4 linked regions of the Drosophila melanogaster genome follow. The gene in region 2 interacts genetically with the main gene of each other region. Each region holds a gene or a part of one and is shown on either strand. Other genes may lie near its edges.

Region 1 (7,694 bases), on a different chromosome or scaffold from region 2:
AAGCATTTATTTCATGCTTTAAAAATATATAAAATTATTAAAATGATTATTCTTATTGTACAGCCTGATTTATATTAAGTCCCACTTATTTTGTTACCACTACGAATTTCGACTACACCAAAGACCAACAAGTTATTAAATATACCAAGGAAATGATTATTTTCTAGCTGCATTTAGGCCATCAAAGTTTCCCTGAACTACCCAACGTACTGAAGTATGCCCGCAAACACGCATTGATTAAAATCGCTGCAGTTAAAACTTATGCTCAAGTTCAAAATTAGTCGAAAGCTAATTAACGATAAGCTCGGCTTGCCAAAGTGCAGTGCAGAAGTTTTCGCCTGGGCTCGGAAAAGTTTTTAATGCATTTATCGAGTGACTTTGGTCTCTAGCTAAGTGCTTATTATCGGGCATCTATTTCAATTTCCCCCTGGCAATTACGAGGCAGTCGAAACTACACATTGTAGTTGTCGGGAAAAACTACGTATTTTCCAGCCGCCCAAGACCTCTGACATTTTGAAACACCCACAACACACCGTGTGACCTTTAACCCAGGGCAGTTCAAAGGCAACTGCCATCGACTGCTCATTTTTAGTTTGGTTTTGCGCCAGGGAAATGGGAAAATTCACTCACCAGAGAGAGCGAGAAAAACTGCAAAAGAGAGAGAGAGAGAGAGAGAGTGCGCAATCAAGTGGGAGAAAATTTCCCTTTTTGAGTCCAAGTCTCTCCGAGAAGAACCGGTTTTCGAGTGGGTTTTCGAATGACATTGGAGTGAGTTCGGGTGCAGTGCATTTGTTCCACTTTCTGAGCAGGATATTTTTGGCACGTTTTTGTGTCGTCGGAGCCTTTTGTGCATTGAGTTTTTGCCACACTGCCGGCTTATGGTCAGCATGAGCAGAAATGAAGCGTGCTGTGGGTCGAATCCCCTTCCTGATTTTTTGTTGTTTTGTACCCCATTTTAGCCTTTTTGGAAGCAACAGCAACTGCTGGCAGCAGGAAGCATTGCGGTATCCTGACGCTCGAGGGACTCATAATGGTCGAGATTTTGAGTTCTGGTTACAGTTTGGGCTCTGGGCTACTTTAAAGCCAGTGAAAACTGGGTTAGTTTAAGATGGCTAAAAGCTAGACGTCACATAATTTCCATAAATTCTTCATGGCCCAAACAAAACTTTTAGCTGGCCATAATTCTTCGTTTGATTTGGCGCAAACTTCGCGCTCAGGCTTATCAAATGCCTCAGAACCCCTTTTTGCCTTTCATTAAAATCAGCACAGACTGAAACTTTGCCACAAAGCAATTTGCTGGAAAAACACAAGACCGAAAAGCGTTGGAAAAACTTTAAACAACGAACGTGACCGAGGTGAAGTTTTCCCTTCTTAACAGCGTTTTTTTCTCTGGTTTTCGTACGGAAAATATAGTTTTTGGTCAAACTAGGTCAGCTGGAGAGCAAAAAATAAGGCAGGGAGAAGGCGAAAGGACGTCAAACATTTAAAAACATAAAAGACATGCCAGAAATTGCATGCTTCTTTAAGCAAGGACTTGACTTGATTTCTTGAGTGCCTCGCCCACGACTCACTCAAGAGCGAGTGAATCGAGAAAATGAGTGAGTGGAATGGCAAATTTCCCGCATGGCATGGCATTCTCAGCGACCCGATGTAGGTATTATGCTCTGCCAGCTAGCAGTCAGTCAACTTATAGCCGCTCCAGCGAACGGACGCACCGAAAATCGAGCTATAGAAACTCTACGGCAAATAAAAAACCCGAAATCGAACCCATGACTTATATATAGAGCCAAACGATTTGTTTACGTGTCGTGACGCGAGTGTGCCAGCAGTTGTGTGCGTGTGCCAGACGCAAGCAGAAAATAAAGTTTACAAATTAAAATAAATCAAAGGCAATCACCATGATTAGCACCACGGATTATCCAACAGTGGAGACCACCACAACTGCCGAAGAGCTCTATGCGGAGTACATATCCGCGCCGGCCAGCAGCATGAGTCCCGCTGCAATTGCCGAGCACCTGCAGCAGAATCAGATCACCTTCGAGATACCCAGTGCCCACGATCTGCGACACATCGACGCCCTCAACTCCTTCAACGCCCTGCTCCAGAGGATTGGCAACGCAGCGGTGTCCTACGATCCCGCTCCACCCAGCGGCTGGTCTCCGGATGGCAGCATCAGCACCGAGCAGCTCTCCAAGTCGGTGGTTCTGGATCTGGCCGACTTGCGGGATAGGTCCGAGGAATCGGGCGAATCCTCGTGGTGGAGCCAGATCTTCGGGGATGCCGACATGCATGTGATCATCAATTATCTGTGGATCGGAGTGGTCAGCTCGCTGGTCATTCTGTCGCTGGTCTTCATCCTCTTCAGCTGCTACTTCTACAGGAAGTTCCGCACTTGGAAAAAATGCAGTAAGTTTCAGTCGGACAGCCACCCAAATATAATCCCCACTCATTTTCCGCCCCCAAAATGCCATACATCTGGCTTTTATGTGCTCGACTTTAATCAAAATGTTTCGCCAAAGCCTTATCTCCGGCCATTTATTCAGCTGGCTAAACAATATAAAATGCAGAAACAGAAAGAGCAACCGAAACAGGTCCCACCACCACCCATCGGTTCCATCAGCTTGGGAGCTTTGCTCCATAGAGCTCCTATGGCCGCAAAGCCTCATAAATTTTTTGGCGCGCTTCGAAATTGTCAGCCAGCCGTTTGCATCGTTCTGTTGTAATTTTAGATACACAAGTTTATTATGCCACAAAATATATGTGCCGCATATTTATAATATTAAATTGACTCGCCTCGGAGGCATTGTGCCCCTTTTATGATAGCGATAATGTACGAGCTGGAGAATATGGACGACCTCGTCGACCCTTCTCCCTCGAAAAATTGGAATTGTTGCCCCGAAATTTGTTTTGCAGGCGAAAGGCGTGAAATTGTGCCTTGATATTTATATATTTTGTTTTGGGGGCCGAGGCGGTAAAGAGTAATATAATAAAATAATGATGGACCATATCACTCAGCTGCGTAGCTAAAGTCTGAGGAAATGTGGCCTTTGTAAGTGGGCGAGATTGTAAAATATTTATTTTGTTTGATATTAGTTTAGGACCTAGAAACATTAAAAATTGAATTTCATATTTTTCTGACATCTCTCACACTTTTAGTTCAGCTCTGGCAGTCCAGTATTAAATCCAAAATCAATCAAGTTTGACACAACTGTTATCAAAATCCCACCTAAATCCGACCCAGATTACCAACACTCAACCCAAATAGAGCCCATGTAAATATATATCTTATCTGCTCGAAACCTGTTGATCCCAATCCCAAAAATAAATCATATGTTTAGGCACTTTACACATAATTACGGAGCACCACAACAAAGAACCCAACTCATACTAAACCAAACAGAACTGAACAGAACCTAAATGGAATTGTATTGGAGGGGCTGGCTAAACAACCTACACAACTAACAAGACTCCGACTCAAGTGTCAAACTTTTTGCAGACCAATTTAGCCAAATGATTTATTTAGGCCGGGCAGCAAGTGAAGGACTACGGCCAGGAGCAAACTTTCGTCCTGTTCCTGGGACTGTGAGCACAACTTCTTGGGCCAAAGGGCCGTGGCCTTAAAGCCTGGCCAACTCAACTGTCAAACTGTCAATTTTGTGCTAACGAGCCTTAAAAACTTTGCCCTGCGATTACGACACGCGACCAAGAAGGGTGGATCCGGAAAGCTCCATTTATATATATATATATATATACGTGAAATATCAATTTGAGCGATATGTGTTGCCTGCTTTCGGCCGTCCAATGCGTCTAATTAGTTTCGTTAGTGTCGTGTTCTGTGCTTCTATTTTTTTTTTGTGTGCTCTTCCCTGGTCCTATGGCCCAGATAGATAGCAAGTGGTTGGTGGGATAGGTTGCCCGGGATACTGGGATACTGGGATACGAGAAGTACGTGTGTCATTTATAATTAAGCAACTAGGCCGGAGTTCACTTCGGCTTTTGTGCATTTAATGCCAGCTACGTGGCGTCTCGCAGTGTTTACCTTATAAATGCTTAACGAGGCCCAAACACAAGAGTGTCTGGCCCAGTTGCCATTCAGCCAGCCAGGCAGCCAGGCTTACACCTTATTTATTAAACTGTCACACACACTGGCGATGGCAAACTTTCGGTCCTTTGGCTTTGGCTTGTTATCAATTAGTGCAGCGGAGGACTACGACTGAATTTATTAACAGACCAGATGAAGTTACTAAATTAAAGCCAAAGCCAAGCCGAGGAGCAACAGCCACTGTTTATCATGTTGTATAGGTCCTGCATAATTTAGTTGCGTAAAAATGTAATTAAGCGTAGCATATTTGCCCAAGACCAGAAAAAGTTGCTCTTAGCCCGGCAGTCCTTTTAAATTTTTAATGGTTTTCGTAGCGAGCAGCGCAGAAAAACTAGAAGCTGCTCTCTTTTTCGGCCATGGAAAATATTTTAGTTGCTTTGGTAGTTTTTTACCCCCATTTTGGCAAACTCAAATTGAGTGCTGTAATTAACCAAATTGTTTTGTAGCCGACCAGCACTTAGTGGTATGGGAAAGGCATACATAATAGAGCTGGCAAAAGTTTTAATGGCTGAGACTGCATCTTTTGTGTGGGAAAAATGGAAACACTCGAAATCGAATACCCATTTCAATGGGCGGCTTAATAACAATTGAAAGCAGCTTAAATACAATGATCATAATTCTTAAATAAAAAACTCCACTCAGATCGAATAAAGCCAGAAAAGTTGGGGCGTTTAAAAAATTAACAGACATTTATGGCAACACAAAATAAAGCAGCTCACTGCTTTCCATTTGCCAGTTTCCATTCGAGAGTGCCAGCTTATTGCGATGAATTTAAATTGTTGCATACATTTGGGCGCATCGACAACAGAAATGGGGAAAAAAGACAGGATACAAATGCAAAAATAAAGAGAAAGAAGGCAAAGTGCCAATGCAGCTGAAAAACAAAAGGCATCAACGAATGGCGTTAATTTTTTTTTGCCAACCGCACAGAGAGCGAAATAAAAACTAAATTTTGTATCTAAATATTTGTTCCGTTAGTGATATTTTATTTTCCTCAAAATAACATCACTAACTGGTTTGCATAATAGAAAGTGAATAAAAAAAAGACATTTGATATCACCATAGGACTTCTAGTTAGTAATATAAATTTTCTGCGTGCATCGGCCACCTTTTTCCCGATTTTCCGACTTTCTTTGCGTCCATCTGCAATGCTTGAAGCGGCTGAGTTGGTGGATGGGGAGGGGGGGGTACACCTTTTTCAGGGGCGGCTGTTTGTTCAACACTTGCATAAAATATGAAGCCTGCAGTCTGTGTATGAGTGGGCCACGCCCCCTTAGTCCAGGGCCCCGTTTGCCGGCTGTCTATCAAACAGAGAGCAAGGAAAAAAGCACGGAAACAAAAGTCGAAAAAGGGAAAACAAAGAGACAGAGTCCTCATGTAGGGTGTTCTGGCCGAAAAAAAGGATTTATATATGTGTGTGTGTGTGTTACAGTTATAACAATAAATCAACAACTGCTGGCAGCCACTGTAACTGCTGACTGGTTCTGCTACCGCTGCGTTTTAATATTGTAATGCGCAAATTTTTCAACAGGCTTTACCCCATGCCACAAAAACCGAAATACCGACCACCTTTCCTTCCTGCGAGATGCGCTTTAATTGAAAAAGCGTTTTCGGGAACAGAGAATTTATGAAAAATACAGCCTGAACAATTAAAAAATTGCCGAGTTTTTCCACAGCGAGGCGGCAACCAAATTAAATGACACAAAAAATGGACAGAGGCGATCCCCTATTTATTTATTGAATGCAGTTTAAATTGCATTTAATAATACTGAATACCTGCCACTTTTTGCAATGCCACATATGCTGGGCCGAAATTCTATTTGAGGCAAATTATTGCTTCATGCATTTTTAATCTGCTGTAACTCAAAATACAACCAAATTAAATTCTTTGATGGCCTCGGCTTAGAGCGCGTGTGCATGGAAATTGGAATTTTCCAATCTTAATTTAACTCTGCTTAATTTGAAACATGCACACACACACACACTCAAGCACACACACATGGACAGCAGCTGCGGCATTATAAAAATTAAATGCTTTCTGCTGCCTACTTTCCGGGGCTGTCGAGCTTTTATTTCATTGCAGTTGGCAGTTGGCGAACGTGTATGTGTGAGCCTGTGTGTCTGTGTGTATGCGAGAGAGTATTTTATTTCATTCCATTCTGCCACGCGCGCACTTCCGGCATATTATTGCCTAGTTGCTGTTGTTGCTTGGGTGGCAGTCAGTCCGCTGTGAAGGAACTTCGCCTGTCCTGCCATCCTCGCCGGCATTTCCGGTCAGCACAAAACTTTCCGCTTCCCCTTTTTTGCCATTTTTTTCGCCTTTTTTTTTGCCTCTGCATTCGGGAAAGTTCAAGCGTTTGCGCCTTTACGCTAAATTGAATTTAATGCCACGGGCCCGTCCTTCTACAAATGTCCTTTGACATGGACAAACAAAGTAATGACAGAGTCAAAACTTTGATGCCTGATTGGGAAGCACCCATTCCGCTATTCCTACACAGCAAGAAATGAAAAAAAATAGTATCATGAAATAAATTTTAAACAAAAACGAATTTTAATTTTAACTATTAGTTACGTGGAATATTGTTATATCTCAATGTTTAAAGAATCTTAATTTGTGCTTTCTGCATTGCTTGCCCCAAAAAGTCCCTTTTTTTTCTCTGTCCATCTAAACAATAGAAACTTTCTGGTGACAAACTCAACTAACAAACTCCGTCTTCTGTTTATTGCAGATAAGGACATACGTGCCCAGATCCATGCGGCCAGTGACTCGTACTCCTCGCACCTGGTTGGTTGCGATGCCAGCAGACTGCTGTTGCACCAGCAGATGCAGCATCCACATCATCGGAGCAGCGAGGCTGGGTTCTACCAAATCGAATCGCCGCCCTGCTACACAATCGCCACCGGATTGCCCAGCTACGATGAGGCACTGCATCATCAGCCTCGGCACTTTGCCTACGGCATGAAGTTCGTTTATCCCTCGTTGGCGGCCGTGCATCATCATCACCATTGCATTTCCAATTGGGAGAAGCAGGAGCCGCTGAATAAGCTGCAAAAGTGCAAGCTGTCAGCGGCAGCGGCAGTGGAGGAGGATAAAGCCGACTCCTCATCGTCCACGTCTGCATCCGCGTCGCCATCCTCTTCGGAATCCAGCAACTTGGCCACAGCAACGCCTGCCATTTGCATTAACATGCCAAGTGGGCGGCAGGATGAGGAGGTGGATAATTCAGATTCCGATTCCGCAATTGCAGTTGCAGTGGCAGTAGCACAAAGTTTACAGCCGGCGGCGCCTGCCGACGATGATTGCGCCTCATTGGTCGTTGTTGTTGCCGCGTGATTGCCCACCCAGGGGTCAGAGGTCAGGGAATAAGGGGTCAGTCGAGGGTTTAGGGCCGGGAGTAGCAGCCCAATTGCTTAGTCACTTGTAAATAGTTGCATCGTCTGCTAATGTTGTTTGCCCCATGTAATAACATATATCTCCGAGAATGTACCCTCTCCCTCCCTCTAAGAAAATTTAGTTTTGGTTTTTAGTTATCTGTTATATATTATTGTATTACGCAAGACTGAGTATTATTTATTGTACTATGTATAAAAC
Region 2 (4,622 bases):
ATTCAAACTTCCAGACTTCCAGACCGATGTCTCTCTGGGCTCTGCGTTCTGGGTTCTGGCCGTCGTCGTAAGCCTGTTGTTTTAAATAATTAATTATTGTTTGGCTGGCAAATAGTCGACTGGAGATCGAATGCTCTTAGGAAAGGCGTACTGAAGCCACGGCTAGTTGCAATTAGAAGTAAATACTTTTCCCCAAGGAGTGGCTATGTGTTTTCTAAGGAATTCGATCCAAATTGATTTTTTTATTAGAAGTAAAACTACATATTACTGAAAACCTATCACTCCCGTCCTAGTCCGTATTTTCGAATATTCCTAGAAGTACGTCGCTATCCGCTAGACCTTTCGCCAGTCGACTTGCAACACCTCCACCCACATTGGCCCGACTTTCAATCACATTCCTGCCCCAAACTGTGTGCCAACGTATCGGTGCTAGCTATGGCATGGATACTATCCCATAAGACCCCTCATTATCTAGCCTGCAGCTGGGAGCAAATGGGAGATCTCGTTGAGTGCCGGGCGATTGGTAGGGCAATCATGTGATTGAACAAATAACATGCTACGGAGCTGCCACAGCACTTGACTTCATTTCTTTCGCCCGGGAAAGTAGGAAAACTAAGCCAGAGACCGCTACTTAGCCCAATTTTCGCATAATGCACATGAGAAAATTGCACAAGAGCCGAAAGGCTTTTGCCAGGCGGGCACCCAAAAAAAAAAAACACAAAAACACAAAAAATGCCAACATAAACGGCCAAGACAAAGGAAAGGATAGACTGCCACCCCCGGAGTCAAAACGAAAAAAAAAAAAAAAAAAACAGAAAGAAGTGCAGTCAGTCCAGTTAGCTGGAAAAACGCTCCCCAGAGTGGCATTAGAAGGTTGCCAAGGCTGTCAACCCTGCAACTTTGTGTTGAGGGCGATAATTTTTATGACCCCGACAGATTCTCAAGCCGACTGCGATTGACCCACCACCCAAAAGCTGGGCTGCTAACTGGATCTCGCTGGTCACACACCACCAGAAGTGAGGAACAAAATCCTGTCGTGTGCCGGTGCAGATAATTTTATACAATTTATTATATCAAACGGGCGACGTCGCGTGCAACACTTGCCACGTCACATCGGCCATTTCGGGATGGGGACACTGAGATACAGATACTTGGTGCTGCAACACACAGCCTCAGGTTGCGTGTTCAAGTGTTTACTGAAATCCGAATTCAAAAATCCCAATCCCAATCCGAATCCGAGTTGCGTGTGTCCATGGACGATATCAGTGGACTGGGCGTCGTTGGTTTGGCATTAAAAAGCGTTTAATAAGCATTAGATTACAACATTCTCAGCGTTGCAAGGGGTGTGACGACTTAAGCTCATTTAGATATATGTTTTATCGGCGGAGGTATAGAGCCATGAAATCGCCAAAGGGTCTAATTTAAAAGCGTTGCTTAACTCCCATTCCTTAAACCGCCAACCTCAAACCATTTCGCTTTAGTTTTCTTTTTGAACTTGCCATCTCGACCACAAAAGCCACAAACTCGATTCTTTGTTTGATTTTCCTGTAATCAGTTGCGAGATTGGAGCGGGAAACTACACTCGGTTGATTAGTCTTTCGAACTCATTACTCATTTATCTAAAGTTCGGTTTTGGTTTTGGTTAGTGATCTTTCCCGAGATCCTCCCTAAGGGGTTTACAATTTCTGTGTTTCGATTTACCCTCATCCAACTGAGTTTCCACATATGCATTTTTTTTTCACTTTTCTCGGGTTCGATGTGTAATACGATCTGTGTATTCTTTGGAAGTTGTATTTAGTTTTCCCAAATGTGATCCCTAAGTGGGTTCAGTGGGTTAGCATTTGTTTTTTGGTGTTCGTTATGTGGTGATAAGGAATAATGAGGAATTAGCAGCATTGTTCTTAAAAGTATCCATACTAATAGATACTTCTTAACCTTCCCTAACCTGCAGAGAACTTCTGAGAGATCTCTGGAATTACGATACCGATTGCAATGCCCTGCCAAAGCCCAAACATCCAGCTATGCCCATCCAAAAGTCGCCCCATTATGTGCATCTCTAATGAGAATCGGGAGAGAGAGGCATGAATAATGGGTCTATGGGCAGAGTCGATGTCGCGTTGTCTATAAAGCGGCCTTAAAATCCATTAGCGAACGTTGCAGGCATAAATAAACCGCAGTGCCTTAATTTCACTTTGTTGTTCGGTCGGGCCGCGTGTGTTGCAACCAAAAATAGCCAAAAGACGGAGTCGACCAACAAAAAAACGTAAATGGAAACAAATGACGCTAATAAATAAATGGGGAGTGCAGCGACATGAGGAGGCAACTCATATGCGGCCGCGAAGGATTTTCCCTGGCTCTGGGAGGAAATAGTTTGTCATAATGCCCTTCAAACTAAAACAGAGATCCCACAATGCAACCCTGCGAATGCAACTCTGGAGATGGACGCATCTTGCATCTGTTGACACTTACCCTTGAGCGCTCCGACTTGAGTTAATCCGTTTAATCCCGCGAGGAGCAGCAGCAGTGGGAATACTGCGCGTCGACTCCGATCGACTGGCATTATTTTTAGCCGCTCCCCATGAAAATCTCGATTGTTTCTGTGTCGGCGTTTGATCTCGCTGGCAGTTTTATTTTTGATTTTGCTTTTGATTTTAATTTGAATTTCGCTTTCGTTGGTTAAACACTGAGGTTGCAACCGCAGCGGCATTCCACGCATCTCGCACAAATGCATTTTGTCAAGTATTCTCGTTTCGCCTCCTTAATTGCACACCATTTAAAATAGATTTGCACTCATTTCTCGATACGCGCAATCTTTCGGATCTTCTGTTTTGGCACACACAGTATTTCTGTTCCTCCGAGTTAGTTATTCGCTAGCATCTGAATCCATGGCGGCGCCACTAAGTCCGTTTCCCGGAACGACGACGCGCGTAACCCGACGAATCGAACGGATACGGATATATGGACTGTATCTGCATCCGCAGCACATGCGAACCGGCTGACAATCGAAATGCGACTGAGGAACGAATTCTCGTTTCGCCTCGGAGCCGCCACCCGAAGTCCACTTCGGCTACTGCTTCGTGTCTGTGTATCCGAGTACCATCTAGTATCTGTATCGCTTCGTGCGCTGTTCCGCGTTCCAGTTCGTCCCGCTTGTTGCATGCTGTGGAACGCGTTGGAACTTTGTTTACTTTTACTGCAAGACGGTTTGTTTTGTTCCGTCTTCACTCGTTTCGATCCACGTGCCCTAGGTTTATCGTCGAGTCGTGCAACATTTCGGGTGGTGGTGCATCATCATGTTGCTATTGAGTGGATGTGAATTGTTGGAATATGTATCTGACTTCCAGGACTAGATGGGGATTTCTTTGCAGCACAACACATAGTCATGTATTTATTGGCTTTTTTTATGAATAATCTGCATCATTTGCTAATACAAAAAAATCTACATTCAAACGGACTTTAACACCATGCCACATCCATTTCCAAGTCCAACTTGTTTATCTCCAGCTCTTTTCCATTTTTATTCGATCATTCAAGCTCTTTTTCACGTTGTCAAGCCAACAAATTGCCAACCTTTGTGCCGCTCAGCCTCAATAGTTTCCATCCGAATCCGAAAACATTTCGAGCTCGGATAATCCCTACTTGTTGCGCTTTATTGCCCTCCAGCTCCACCGTGTCCGCTCAACCCTTCGCCGGCGCAGAGAGTCGAAAGAGCCCCTCCAAAGGGGCGACCATTTCATATCTAATCTGCTCGAGTGCCCCACTCACTCTCCAGCTGTTAGCTCATCTATTTCCAAACTGCAATAAAGCCAGACACAGTTCTAGACGATCCGTTTCACAATGCGATGAATAGAAATCAAAGTGGAGACCCGTTCTTGGACACTGTCCCAATATCTAGACGCCTCTGCGCGCTAATGAATTTCGAAATCAATTGAATGGCCAGCTAGACGATATTGTATTAATTTATCAAAGTGCATATCCGAAAGGGCTTTCCTCTATAAATCGCTGCCTAATTTCCCAGCGTTTGTTAAATAATCAATAACTTTTCCTCCAGGTAGAGTTCTTCGGACGAGTGTGAAGTCAGTTCATTAATGCCGGTGCTCAGAAAATACAGATACAGATACATTCGACGGGCAGAGAAGTGTAAAATAAAGGTGTGTATCTTTCCTATAAAGGAACTATGCGTGCATTTAGGAGCGGGCAGGTGTGGATTCCCTTTCCCCCTCCACTTCCCCTTTTCAGAGTGCAACACAATGTGCATTGTCTCTGCGAGAAAGAAAGGTCAAAGTGCGTACGGCGTATGTGAGTTTGTTGCCTTCTCAAGTCCCTCGTTTCTTCGATTCTCCGATCCCGACTCTCGAATCCCGATTCCCACTGCCGCTCACCTTTTATAGAGGCGAAGAATCCAGGTAGAGGAAAGAGAGAATTCGTGGCAGGTAAACCATATTTCAAATGCTGATAATTGGCCAATTTACAGCCAGGGCGAGTTGCTCTGCTTGAAAGGCGAGATATCTGAGCCCGGTTGCCACGCTTCATTAGCACTCAAGTGAAGTTGGGCAACGCTGCAAGTATATACGATAATATATAATATATAGATACCTTATGTCCTTTACCTTACCAAAGTA
Region 3 (4,733 bases), on a different chromosome or scaffold from region 2:
CAAGCAATAAACAAATGGAAACCCATTAGCCAAAAAAAAAAAGAGCAAAATAGCGGGAATAACAAATTGCGAGCTGTAGTTGGAGTAATTTTTTACGGGCGTGCGCATTTTTGACTCCGTGTCCGTGTTACTTGAAAAGACCGGCTGCACTGGTATTGGTAATGTGTGCTCCAGATCCCACTAAGCTCAAATACAAAAACATATCAAATAAAACCGACACATGTGGCCAAATGCAAATGCGCATTTTGTCGCATTCCAAGCCCAGCTGGTCGAGCGGATTTCGATCCGAACTGGTGGCTTTGCCGGTTTTAAGCCGCAGACAAACCAGCGACACTCATGGATACGCCTAATGCCATCCAAGCCCGAATTTGGAATTCGAAAACTGTTGAATACTTTACATTTAATCTAAAAACGAAATAGAATACTTAGCAATTTTATTCGAAACCCTTGCTTGGGGTTTATCAACTACAGATTGTCGAAATAGTTATATATTATTTATAAAAATCGAATGATCGTTTATTTGCGTTGAAGTTTTTGTAAGTCTACAAATTTTAAAACTCATATTATTAATATTTATAAGAAATACAATATACCCTCGGCATTTTCGCCGCCGGGTTTTATGGAAACCCGCACATATTAGATTTCTCGCACAAATTGGTGCGGTTCGGTGTCTAAACCGAGTCTCAATTACACCCGTTCGCAGCCCGCTCCCCCGATTTTCCACCCAACCCCCCTCCACAGCGGTTGGGTGCTCATTAGCTGAGCGCGGGTTACGCAGAGCATTCGGCTTGGGAGCGTTAGCAACCGCCGTCTACAGACCAGGCCACACCCTCTGCTCCTCACTCGCATTTTCCAGCTGTCCCCTCAGAACTCGGCCGACTCTGCATTTGCCCGATCATTAAATGCTTAACCAAATGAGTTAAAGCGATGTATCTGTATCTGTGGTTCTGAATGGGGTGTGTGCCATCACTTTGTTGTTCCAGGACACTGGGCGAAAAAATTAGCTCAGTTCGATTTATATTAGGATTTGAAATTTAAATCGCTTTGTTCTTGAGATACAATGTGGCTTCGAAAAATTGTCTGACTAGCTTAATTTCTCAATTGCAAATGTATTTTTCATCTTCTTTACTTACTTTCTAATTATAATTATTTTCTTTTCTTTAACACTTTTTAATATTCTGTAGATTAGAAAAATTTCTCCCAGTGATTGCATATGTTTCTGTGACTACAAGCAACATGTGGTCGTCTGTTTGTCTCCGTTTTTAAAGTCGCTTCTGCGAGCGAAGAAAGCATGGAAATTATTTCAGATATGTGAAATGGGGGCACGAGTTCTGAGCCCTCGAAATAATTGCTCTTCCCCCAATGGGGTTAAGTTTTGAGAAGGGAGTGCAGTTGGATGATCTGTGGATTTTTTCTGTAATTAGCTCCGAACATGTGTGGGAATAAATGCATACAGAATACTTTTTGAACGACTTTTTGACTTAATTTTATGCTACAAAGCAAACTAAGCAAAATATTTTTAAGAATATTTACCAATAAACTTAAGAGAAAGAACACTACATACATTAAATTGTATATATAAATTGATTTATCTGTTATTGGATCGAATTTTTAATGATTTTCCAAACAAGAAATATGACTTATCTCATCTTGTATTTTAACATCTGCCTTGAAGTCAGTAATGATTTTCTCTTTAAAAACCCATATAAAGATCTACAATCTTACCAATTAAAATTCCGGGTTCCATAGTCGTATAATCCTTGATTCGCTTAATCCCAGTAGCGAATTGATTTCGTTTCGATAAAATTTAAAATCACCAACATAAAAACCTATGCTTTTCAAGGTCGTATCGTATCGAATTGAATTACAAAATCGTTGAATCACATGGACACAATTCGGGTTATTTATTTCGGTTTGATTGATATGTATGCTTCGTGGTAAGACAACTGATATCGCCGCATTTCGTTTTTTTTTACCACTTTCGCACCATTTGGTTTTGTTTACCGCTTCGTTTCGTAATATTTCGCGTTAATTTCCAGAAATCGAAGGTGTGCCAAGAATTCTACAAAGACCTAAAATCACAATTGCAGAATGTCGAATATTAAAGGTGACACCTGTGATGTTTGTTTTCTTATTAGACTTTGTGTTGACTTTCCCACCAAGAAACAAATATGTTTTGCGCATGCGCAACGGCAAAGAGAATGAGCGAGAGAGAGGAAGTGAGCGGGAGTCAGGAAACTACCGTTAGGTTTTCCTCTGCTTTTAATGAGTTTTTGTGTTTGCCTGCCATTTTTAATTTTAACAAGCAGCGTTGTTTACCAATTTGATTGTTTTATTTACTTTTTTCCATTTTCTTTATCAATTTCTTAGTCTCTCTCTCTCTCTTTTTATCTTTCCCCGCTCTCACGCTCATCAAAAAGCAAACACCGGTTAACGAGGAACGCTGGAAACGTCCGAAACAGTGCGGCATTAAAAGCGAAAACCAGAAATGGAACGTGTGGCTATTGGAACAGACAACACTTTTGTTGTTGCTATCGTGGGTAATTTGTGAGTCAAAGAATCAAGAATGCGTGAATGTGTGTGTTTGTTGGAAAAAAAGAGTTAAAACCTCTAAAAACTCGATTAAAGACAAGGCAAAACCTTAAGTTTGGCACACCAATTGCGATTTCAAGCACTTGCTGTTGAAATTCCTTCGGAATTTATATTATTTCTCCACTTTTGCTCAAACAACTTGTGGCACACTCACACACGCGCACAAATTCTACACCTTGAACTTGCGTCAGCTTTTTTTTTTGCTCTTTCCCATTATCTTTTCATTTTAGGTAACCACTTTAAGTGCCTTTTTCAATTTACAAACTTTTCTTGGTTATTAAACTTTCGGGACACGCACTTGCAGCCAATTTTGATTTTCCTGCGCTGCTTCTTTTGTTACTTTTTCTTCTCGGCTCACAACGACGGCGCGCAGAAAAAAACCAGTAACATCATGGTGTTTATCCGACGCGTTTTAAGTCTTTACGCTTCGAAGTCAGAAAGCGATCTGAAACGCGATCGTAACGTAGCTATTCTTGTTCGCTCTCTTTGAACGATGATCTTATTGGAACGGGTTGCAGCCCAACTGGCCAAAGCGGGCGTTTCAGTTCAGCTGTTTCGCGCGCTCAGAGAGTGAGAGCGAGATAAAAGAGGAGTTTCTATTGGATTTCAATTAAAATCGAATCGGAATTAATTGAAGGGCTGAGCGCAGGCACAGTGGGGTAGATAATTTGTTTTCATTTTTACTTTAACAAGTTACTATCAAATTTATATTATAACAGATAATAACTCTTTAAATTTAATAACATGAAGTTACAAAGCAAGGTTTAGGAGTTATAGGACCTCAATGTTGTATAAAAGAAAATGCACTTAAACATGCATGTACGTAAATTACCAGAAAAGGATTTGTTAAGAACACAGCAGGCCTTTTTCCAAACCTCCCTGATAATTTGACTGTTGAAACCTGACATTCGGTCAACAGTTTTGGTAAGAACTCCATTCTAAATCAGGCCCCAAAAGTTTAATTTTTTGGCCCAAAAACAAATCCACCAGCAATCCAAGACTTAATTCCCACAAAATGTCACTAAATCGAGGAAGCAAGATGCTCCTGCGGGCGTTAACGCCCCAAATTTTGAGGCGTGGCAAGGCGGACTATGGCAAGACGGTGTGCAACCTGAAGATCAACAAGGCAACAAAGGTTCTAGTCCAGGGATTCACCGGCAAGCAGGCCACTTTCCACTCGGAGGAGTCCATAAAGTACGGAACCAATATAGTTGGCGGTGTGAATCCCAAAAAGGGAGGTACGGAGCATCTGGGCAAGCCCGTATTCAAATCGGTGGCAGAAGCTGTGGAGAAGGCGAAGCCAGATGCCACGGTGATCTTTATACCACCTCCATCCGCCGCCGAGGGTATTTGCGCGGCTATCGAGAGTGAAATTGGCTTGATTGTGGCCATCACCGAGGGTATTCCCCAGGCGGATATGGTGCGGATATCGCAAATGCTGAATTGCCAGGAGAAGTCCCGCCTGCTGGGACCCAACTGTCCGGGAATCATCTCGCCGGATCAGTGCAAAATCGGAATAATGCCGGGAGATATCCACAAGCGAGGAGTGGTGGGCATAGTCTCGCGGTCGGGAACCCTGACCTACGAGTCCGTCCATCAGACCACCAACGTGGGATTGGGTCAGGCTCTTTGCGTTGGCCTCGGCGGGGATCCCTTTAACGGAACTAGCTTCATAGACGCCCTCAAAGTGTTTCTGTCCGACAAGGAGATCAAGGGCATTGTCATGATTGGAGAGATTGGCGGATCCGCCGAGGAAGAGGCTGCCGATTTCCTTAAGGAGAAGAACACTGGCTGCGAGGCCAAGCCAGTAGTTGGCTTCATTGCTGGACAGACTGCTCCACCGGGTCGTCGAATGGGTCACGCCGGCGCCATCATTTCCGGTGGCAAGGGAGCGGCCAAGGACAAGGTGGCCGCCCTGGAGAAAGCGGGAGTCCGTATGACCGCCAATCCCTGCCACCTGGGCTCCACGCTCCTCGAGGAAATGATCCGCCTGAAACTGGTGCCCAAGCCGAACAAAAAGAAGGCTCAGGCCGGGAAGAAGTAGGAGTGGCGGAACAAGTTATTGATGCCAATAAACTAACTTAGTGCTCTTTAAATTGCTAAAATATCTCTTTTATTTTTTTTTCGAAGTCTAAATTATA
Region 4 (7,547 bases), on a different chromosome or scaffold from region 2:
TGTTTGTTTTTATGATTTTTTTTTTTCCAGTCCGATGTCTGCCTGCGGGTCTTTATGGACAGCCATATGGATTACTCCAGTACTCGCATTCGTAGTGCCCCTTAGAAATATTTAGTTGCCAAATCATTTAAGCCGCGGCACACGCTCTGGTCCAAAAAAAAAAAAAAACAAAACAAAAATGGTAAAAAAAAAAAACGAACTGAACCATTCTGACAGAGCCATTAAAGCTAGCCGGTAATCGGTTGGCTCAAATCAGAGATCGGTGAACCACCAACAGCCACTACACAACCACTTACAATGGGCCACAATAATGTTAATTGGAAATAACGTTTAGGAATTGTTGTGGGGCAAAAAACCGAATCAGACTGAAACATAAGCCAGCGAGTCAGAAACAGAGGCTCAGATCTCTGAGAGCTGAGTGCTCCAAGTTGAGATAGACAATGTTGTATATGAATTTTTCATAACATGCTACAAGCTGTGCCTCCAGGTACCTCCCCCCCCCCATTTCCCGCCGCCGTCGCCGCTTTTCGCCGCCAAAGAACAGTTGAAATGAAGGAAACAAAAACGCAGCGAGCGAGGGAAAAATACTTGTAATAGTCACTCGAGGGGGAAATATAAATTATTGAGCTCGTTTCTTAAGTAATTATCGCACTGACGGACGGAACCAACTTACTGAATCACAAACACTGACCGAATGACTAACTGGCGGATGGACAGACTGACCAACTGGTTAAACGACGGTCACGAGACGTCGGCGAGGCTTCAAGATTGCCGGCAGAAAAAAGCCTCGGGCGCAACTTTGTAAGATTCGAGAGCTTATCGCATACCCTTCGAAACTGCATAAGAAATTTGAGATGGAACTTGCGCAATTTCATAGCTAGGCGAAAAGTTGTAAGGGTATGCCCTACAATTCATTGTATCATTGTAGCTCTCTGAAGATATTGCATATTTTAGGGAAACTGCTTGAAACTCTGTTTCAGTGCCTGAAAACTTCTCAAAATATAAACTTTTGAGTATTAAAATAAAATCGCCTTTCAATAATCTGAATCTTACATCCTTCCCTCAACGAAAATCGTGTAAAACGAGAACGTTTTTTCTCAATAGGTTCTATGCAGACTACTTGCCCTCACGTCTTTTAATTGTCATGCCATTTGGGAATCGTCTGAAGCGACTGTGAGTCAGGTTGTGGTCTCTCCATCTACCTGGCCATTATGCTCGGTTCCCAGCTCGGGGTCAATCCAGCTCAACATCCATAGCACATCTCATCATTTCTCATTATTTTATTGACTTTGAAGTGTAATTATTTGCCTTTTAGACGAATTCAAAGCGCAGCAGCCGCTAAAATGAGAGAAAAATACAGATTGTGAGCCGATACTCAGTTTCTCGCTCACGTCTTTTCTGCTCATTCGCCTTTAGATATATTTTTTTTCTCGGCTTTTGTTTGTCTTGGCCTCGACTGAGAGACCGTTTCGGTCTCTGAGACCCAGTCGCGATCTCGGTCTGGATCTTGGCTTTAGTCTCCAGCGGGTCTTGAGTGCGTTCAGACGTGTGCAGCTGAGATCTTGGAACGACGAATGGTGATCGGTGATCTCTGATCAGTGACCAGTGGGCAGAGAGCGAATAGCCAAGATCCAAGAGCCTAGGCAAACATAAATACGATACATCCGATCCGATCCGATCGTTCGGTTTCATAGTGTGCTTAAGTGTGGGATCGATCGTGGGATCTGTTTAGTGTCTGTGACGCCTCTGCAAATATTGGCCAACGGTTAATGGCCATGAAGAAGCTCTACGCGAAGACCTCGTTCACCAGCAAGAAGCCATCGAGTGCCGCCAATTCCACTCCGATATTGGCCTACCACCAGCAACAGCATCAGCAGCCGGGCAATGGCATTTGCGAGTTCCAGGTGGTGGCACCTGGTCACTCCGGTGAGCTAATGATACGCCGCAGCCAAAGTATGCACCACAAGATGTCGCCTCCAGTCGGCGGCCTGGGCTCCAAGTCGGAGTACTACAGCATTGAGGAGCTGCAGGAGCTGGATTTGCTGGACTATCGTCATCCCATGTACCATCATTATCAGCAGCAGGAGCTGAGGCAGCGCTACCATGAGCACGAGCAGTTGGTGCTGCAGTTACCCAAGGCTACTAGTCCAAAGGCAGGACCCATCTATGAGGCACCACAGAGATCTCAGCAGCAGCAGGATCAGATGTTGTATGTACCAACGGCAGCGCAAAGAGATTCATCATCAAGTGCTGCAGCCACATCTATAGCCAGCTCATCTACCCTAACTTCATCCCCATCGCCATCCTCCTCTTCATCTCTGATCTTTTCCACTTTGCGCAAATGCGTTTCGCCCTCGAATCCCTCGGTGAATCCGAACCAACCCTCAAAAACTCAACCCTCCAAACTGGGCTGTTCCATGTCGTTTTCAATTAGAACGACAACGGCAACAGCAGCCACAGCCGCAGCAGCAAATGCAGCAACAGCAACACTATCGACACAGCAGCAACAACAGCAGGCACAGCAGCAACACAAGCAACATCTCTATAGCAACATACATCATTATCTGATCCGACAACAACAGCAGAAACAACACTACACATTACAACGTCGCCATAATTCGGTCAAAGATAAATTCATTGGGGGCATTACAACGATTTTTGCGTATGTGTAACCCACTTCCCTATGCGTCTGTCCTTGGTTGGGTTCTGTAATAATTCCCATATTTCCCCACTTTTCTCTACTATACTTCTTCAATCTCAGCACGTAGTACTTGGCCCTGGACTTTTGAATGCGTTTTACAGCTTGGTGAGATCGTTCGTAAATCAAAGAACTCTTAACCCCCACAGAGCAGCCGCCGTCGTACTCTCCGGTTTAATCATAATTATAATTTAACGCCAATTAAGCTGGAAAACGCTATCGTGTGCACACGAATCTGCATCTTGCACTCGGCTGCAGTTTAAAAACTTAAGCTTAACGCACGAATAAATCCCCAAGGCATAGAAAATTTCACCTGCCACATATTGAAAATGCTCCCAAAGCGATTTTCCAGTGGCTCAATTATATTAGCATCCCATTTAACTGGCCATTTGCGGGGCACTTTTCGATTTTCATTTGGGTTTTCCACTCAGCTGCACAGCGCAAAAAAACGATTAAGATGTTAGTTTTTACTGAAATATTTAATTGCTTTCTTTAACGATTAAAATACTATGTATCACATGTGTCGATTTTACGATTCATGAACTCATTTCCATTTCTTTACAATCTAATGTAATTAAAACAGTCGTACAGTTCTATGATTGTAGCTTAAATCTCGGAATTGGCACGTTTAATAGGCACTTATTACGTGTAAAATCGAATGAAAGCATTTATGCACTGAATGTTAGTCACAAAATGCATTACTAATCCCAACTACTTTGCTGCTGCGAACTACTGAAATAATTTTAGTTGCATTAAAATTGTTTAAAAGAGTACAACACTTTTACAAAAGCAATTCTTTTGCTCACTCCGACTTCCTATAATTATTTTCGAATATGTAGTATCCAATTTATGAGATATAAATCGATTCGATTGTAAAAAACAGAAATTTAAAAAAACTGATTGACCGCTATTGTTTCGCAGTTTCTCATAGTGTGCAGAAAAAAAAAACTTCACTTTCGTTGCCACGAATTTCGATGCAAATCAAAGCGGACAGGCTCATAAGACTTAGCTCCAAACTGTCGGTGGTTATATAAGGCCCTGAAACGGCGCACAGCTGTGCCAGCCGCCAGAGTGCGACTCGGATTCGGATTGAGATTCGTCCGTCTGTCCAGCCGTCCGTACCGCCGATCTGCGCACTCCATTTAAGTGCAAAACTACTTGCGGCTTTTGGCCGGGCCAAGTCTGTAGCGAGAATACTGCCGACTCGACTCGTTTGGCGGCTGCTCTCCGTCATTATCTCTATGTGTCCCCCAGTAACACACAACTCGGAGCAACTTGGAGCAACTTGGAGCTGCTCAGGCAACTTGGAGCGGTGCAGGCTAGCAAAAACAAAAAAAGGGGCAGAGAAAAAAAGAAAAAAAAAAAGAACGGAGCTATAGGATAGAAAGAACACCACATAGCCAAGTTGAGCAAAAGGCAAGGCAACTCGTCATCGCCTTTGCATTTTTCCAATGAAGGCGTTCATTTGTCGCTGGCCATGTTTACTTCACTGGCTGACTTTAATTGTCAACTCAACTGAGTGTCCCGGGGGGAGAAAATGCTAAAGGTTGAATGCAGCATATACACGTTCATATTAGAACTTTCATTAGAATCATTTAATCGGTCCGTGCGACTCGAGACGATCATCTGGCTGGATGACAGGTGTGCGGGCATACAAAGAAATGCATTGCACTTCCTGTCCTGAAACCGATGGGATTAGAGGGGAGTCGAGGGTATACATAGATCAAAGCCCTTGCTCACTTGAGGCGTGTGAAAAGTCTGGAAGATCACGGTGCAGTAAAGTGCAGTTGAATGAGTTCTTCAAGGGGCAAATTGTAGAGCCGATCTAATGATCTGAAAACGACTGCTCATTGCGACATTCTTTCTGGGAAGTCTTAATCGAGTCTAAGAAGTTTTTTTTATTATGACGGAAAATCGATTTCTATGAATATATGTAGAAGCTTTCCATAGAACAATATATACTTTTTACTTCCAATCCCACGAAAGCCATCAATAAATTTGTATCTCTTTTATTGAACTCGTTTAGTGCAAATAATAAAGTTGCCAAATTTGACTAATTTGTTAGCACAACTTCCGTTTCGTTTCCCACGATCTTTTAAGACTTTAAAAGAGTTAACATCATAAAATGGAATTTTTGTACATACATATATGTTTCTCGCACATTTTCATATCTTTTCTTCTCAAGGCAAGGGCTATTCCCTATAATAAATTTTCAGCTCGAACTTCTTGAAGTGTGTTAAGTCCTCATCATTTCCATACACATTCAAGGTTCCATTCCATACCATTTAAGTCAGCCAACTAACCATAATATTCACACTTATTTCTTGCAGTGAGCAGAGTATTATCGGGGCGCGGGCCTCTGTGATGGTGTACGATGACAACCAGAAGAAGTGGGTGCCATCGGGCAGCTCGTCGGGATTGAGCAAGGTGCAGATCTACCACCACCAGCAGAACAACACGTTCCGTGTGGTGGGACGAAAGCTGCAGGATCACGAGGTGGTCATCAACTGCTCCATTCTGAAGGGACTGAAGTACAATCAGGCCACGGCAACATTTCATCAGTGGCGCGATTCGAAATTCGTTTACGGCTTGAACTTCTCGAGCCAAAATGATGCGGAGAACTTTGCTAGGGCCATGATGCATGCCCTGGAAGTAAGTATATCTCTTTCACAACCAATATCTGTATCATTCGCTAACATTTGAATGTCTTTCTCAGGTGCTCAGTGGTCGCGTGGCGAACAACCCAGGTGGACCGCCCACAAATGGCAATGGCTATGAGGAGGACATGGGCTATCGCACGATGACCAGCGAGGATGCAGCCATACTGCGTCAGAACAACAGCATAGGTGGGCACGTCACGCCCTCGGCCCAGACGCCCACCTCGCAGACCAACCAGAATAACATCCCCCAGAGCCCGCCGACGCCCCAGGGTCATCATCGCACCAGCAGGTAGGCTCCATTTCCATTAATTGTGTTGGATACGGCATGCTCATTGCTGTGGAAAAACCCATTAGCTTAGACTCGATTGATCTAACCATTCAAGAAATATTCAATTTTATGAGAATAAGTCATTAGCACATATTGGTCGGAAGGAACATCAGTTTTCTTTGAACATTATAAAGCTGAAAATCCGTGGTTGTTATAAATGAATCCTAAGATCAAAAATTTCATTAGTCTTCAGATGCAGATACATTTTCTTGCAAGATATGTAATGTAGGATACAATTGTAGGATTGCATTACGCAAGTTGGGAACAATTTCTATCCACTTACACATGAGCAGTAGGGGCCAACACTTTTATCCGAGTTCTCGTGTCTCATCTCTCATATCACTCATTGATCCATCCCCATCCCACGCCGAACCTTTGCTCACCCAAAAAGGAATTCCCTCAGCGCCCCACCGGCACCACAGCCCCAACAGCAGCAGCAGCAGCAGCAGGCGCAGCAAATGGGTCAGCCAGGATCCCACTATGGACCCACTGGAAATGGACCCACTTCGAATGGCCTGCCACAGCAGGTGAACTCACAGATTCCGCCGGCACCGCAGCAGCAGCCACAACAGCAACAGTTTCAGCAGCAGCAGCAGCAACAGCAATATCAGCAAATGGTCCAGGCGGGCTATGCGCCCTCTCAGGTGAGTTCGATATGCTATAACCTCACCCCGTCCCAGTTTCCTCATGCGGTATTTCTGTTTCATTTCATTGGCAAATTGGCTTGATCCTGAATCTGAATCTCCTGAAAACCCCGACACACCACCACCATCACACCCCAACAGCAGTATCAGCAACCCCACTACGTGCTCTCCAATTCTAATCCCAATCTAACTGTGCACCAATACCCGACACAGCAGGCGCAGCAGCAGCCACCGCAAGCGCCACAGCCGCCGCTCCAGAACGGTGGAATGTACATGGTGGGTCATGGTCATCTACCGAGCTCCGCGAGCGCCAACAGTGTTGTGTACGCCAGCCAGCAGCAGATGCTCCCGCAGGCGCATCCACAGGCACCTCAGGCGCCGACGATGCCAGGTCCGGGCTACGGTGGTCCACCAGTACCTCCGCCCCAGCAGCAGGCAGAGAATCCGTACGGTCAGGTACCCATGCCGCCGCCAATGAATCCGTCACAGCAACAGCAGCCAGGTCAGGTGCCTCTAAACCGGATGAGCAGCCAGGGTGGTCCAGGTGGCCCACCGGCTCCTGCTCCGCCCCCGCCACCACCCAGTTTTGGTGGAGCTGCTGGAGGAGGACCACCACCACCAGCCCCGCCACAGATGTTCAACGGCGCACCGCCGCCGCCAGCCATGGGCGGTGGACCACCGCCGGCTCCACCGGCACCGCCAGCAATGGGTGGCGGACCACCGCCAGCACCGGGCGGACCAGGGGCACCACCACCACCGCCTCCGCCGCCGGGATTGGGAGGAGCGCCTAAGAAGGAAGATCCCCAGGCAGATCTCATGGGCTCGCTGGCCTCCCAGCTGCAGCAGATCAAGCTCAAAAAGAATAAGGTAAAATATCAATTTATTTAATTTATACAACTTGACTAAGCATTGTATTACCGTTTATTTTTTATTTTTAGGTCACCACCTCTGCTCCGGAGAATAGCGGCAGCAGCACGTCCAGTGGCGGCAGCGGCAACTATGGAACCATAGGACGAAGCTCTAATGGCATGGCCTCCATGATGGACGAGATGGCCAAGACGCTGGCACGACGACGCGCCCAAGCAGAAAAGAAGGATGTAAGTCAACTTTGTTTAACTTATTCCATAATCAATATCTTAATTCGTTGGCATATTGCAGCCCGATCCTGAAGCCGAAGTGAAAAAACGCCCCTGGGAAAAGTCCAATACACTGCCCCA

Evidence for each region.
Region 1: of robo2 (region 2) and comm, changing one suppresses a phenotype caused by changing the other (phenotypic suppression), as found in Drosophila melanogaster (2 studies listed by BioGRID).
Region 3: of robo2 (region 2) and Dys, changing one suppresses a phenotype caused by changing the other (phenotypic suppression), as found in Drosophila melanogaster (one study listed by BioGRID).
Region 4: of robo2 (region 2) and ena, changing one suppresses a phenotype caused by changing the other (phenotypic suppression), as found in Drosophila melanogaster (2 studies listed by BioGRID).

The regions. Positions count from the first base shown.
Region 1 is NT_037436.4:15,722,409-15,730,102, reverse strand, and holds the start of comm (commissureless), read left to right. Parts: upstream 1-1,672; 5' UTR 1,673-1,898; coding exon 1,899-2,406; intron 2,407-6,831; coding exon 6,832-7,436; 3' UTR 7,437-7,694. UniProt on the Drosophila melanogaster protein: Controls axon guidance across the CNS midline by preventing the delivery of Robo to the growth cone.
Region 2 is NT_033779.5:1,417,435-1,422,056, forward strand, and holds the start of robo2 (roundabout 2), read right to left. Parts: upstream 3,020-4,622; 5' UTR 2,732-3,019; coding exon 2,470-2,731; intron 1-2,469.
Region 3 is NT_033777.3:19,461,839-19,466,571, reverse strand, and holds the start of Dys (dystrophin), read right to left. Parts: upstream 3,040-4,733; 5' UTR 2,933-3,039; exon of another isoform or gene 2,891-2,932; intron 2,073-2,890; 5' UTR 1,748-2,072; coding exon 1,726-1,747; intron 1-1,725. Other genes in the region: Scsalpha2 (Succinyl-coenzyme A synthetase alpha subunit 2), read left to right, coding at 3,608-4,636.
Region 4 is NT_033778.4:19,153,706-19,161,252, forward strand, and holds the start of ena (enabled), read left to right. Parts: upstream 1-1,515; 5' UTR 1,516-1,769; coding exon 1,770-2,662; intron 2,663-5,028; coding exon 5,029-5,350; intron 5,351-5,414; coding exon 5,415-5,647; intron 5,648-6,077; coding exon of another isoform or gene 6,078-6,089; coding exon 6,090-6,330; intron 6,331-6,471; coding exon 6,472-7,197; intron 7,198-7,268; coding exon 7,269-7,427; intron 7,428-7,488; coding exon 7,489-7,547. UniProt on the Drosophila melanogaster protein: Functions, together with Abl, trio and fra, in a complex signaling network that regulates axon guidance at the CNS midline. Required in part for robo-mediated repulsive axon guidance. May be involved in lamellipodial dynamics.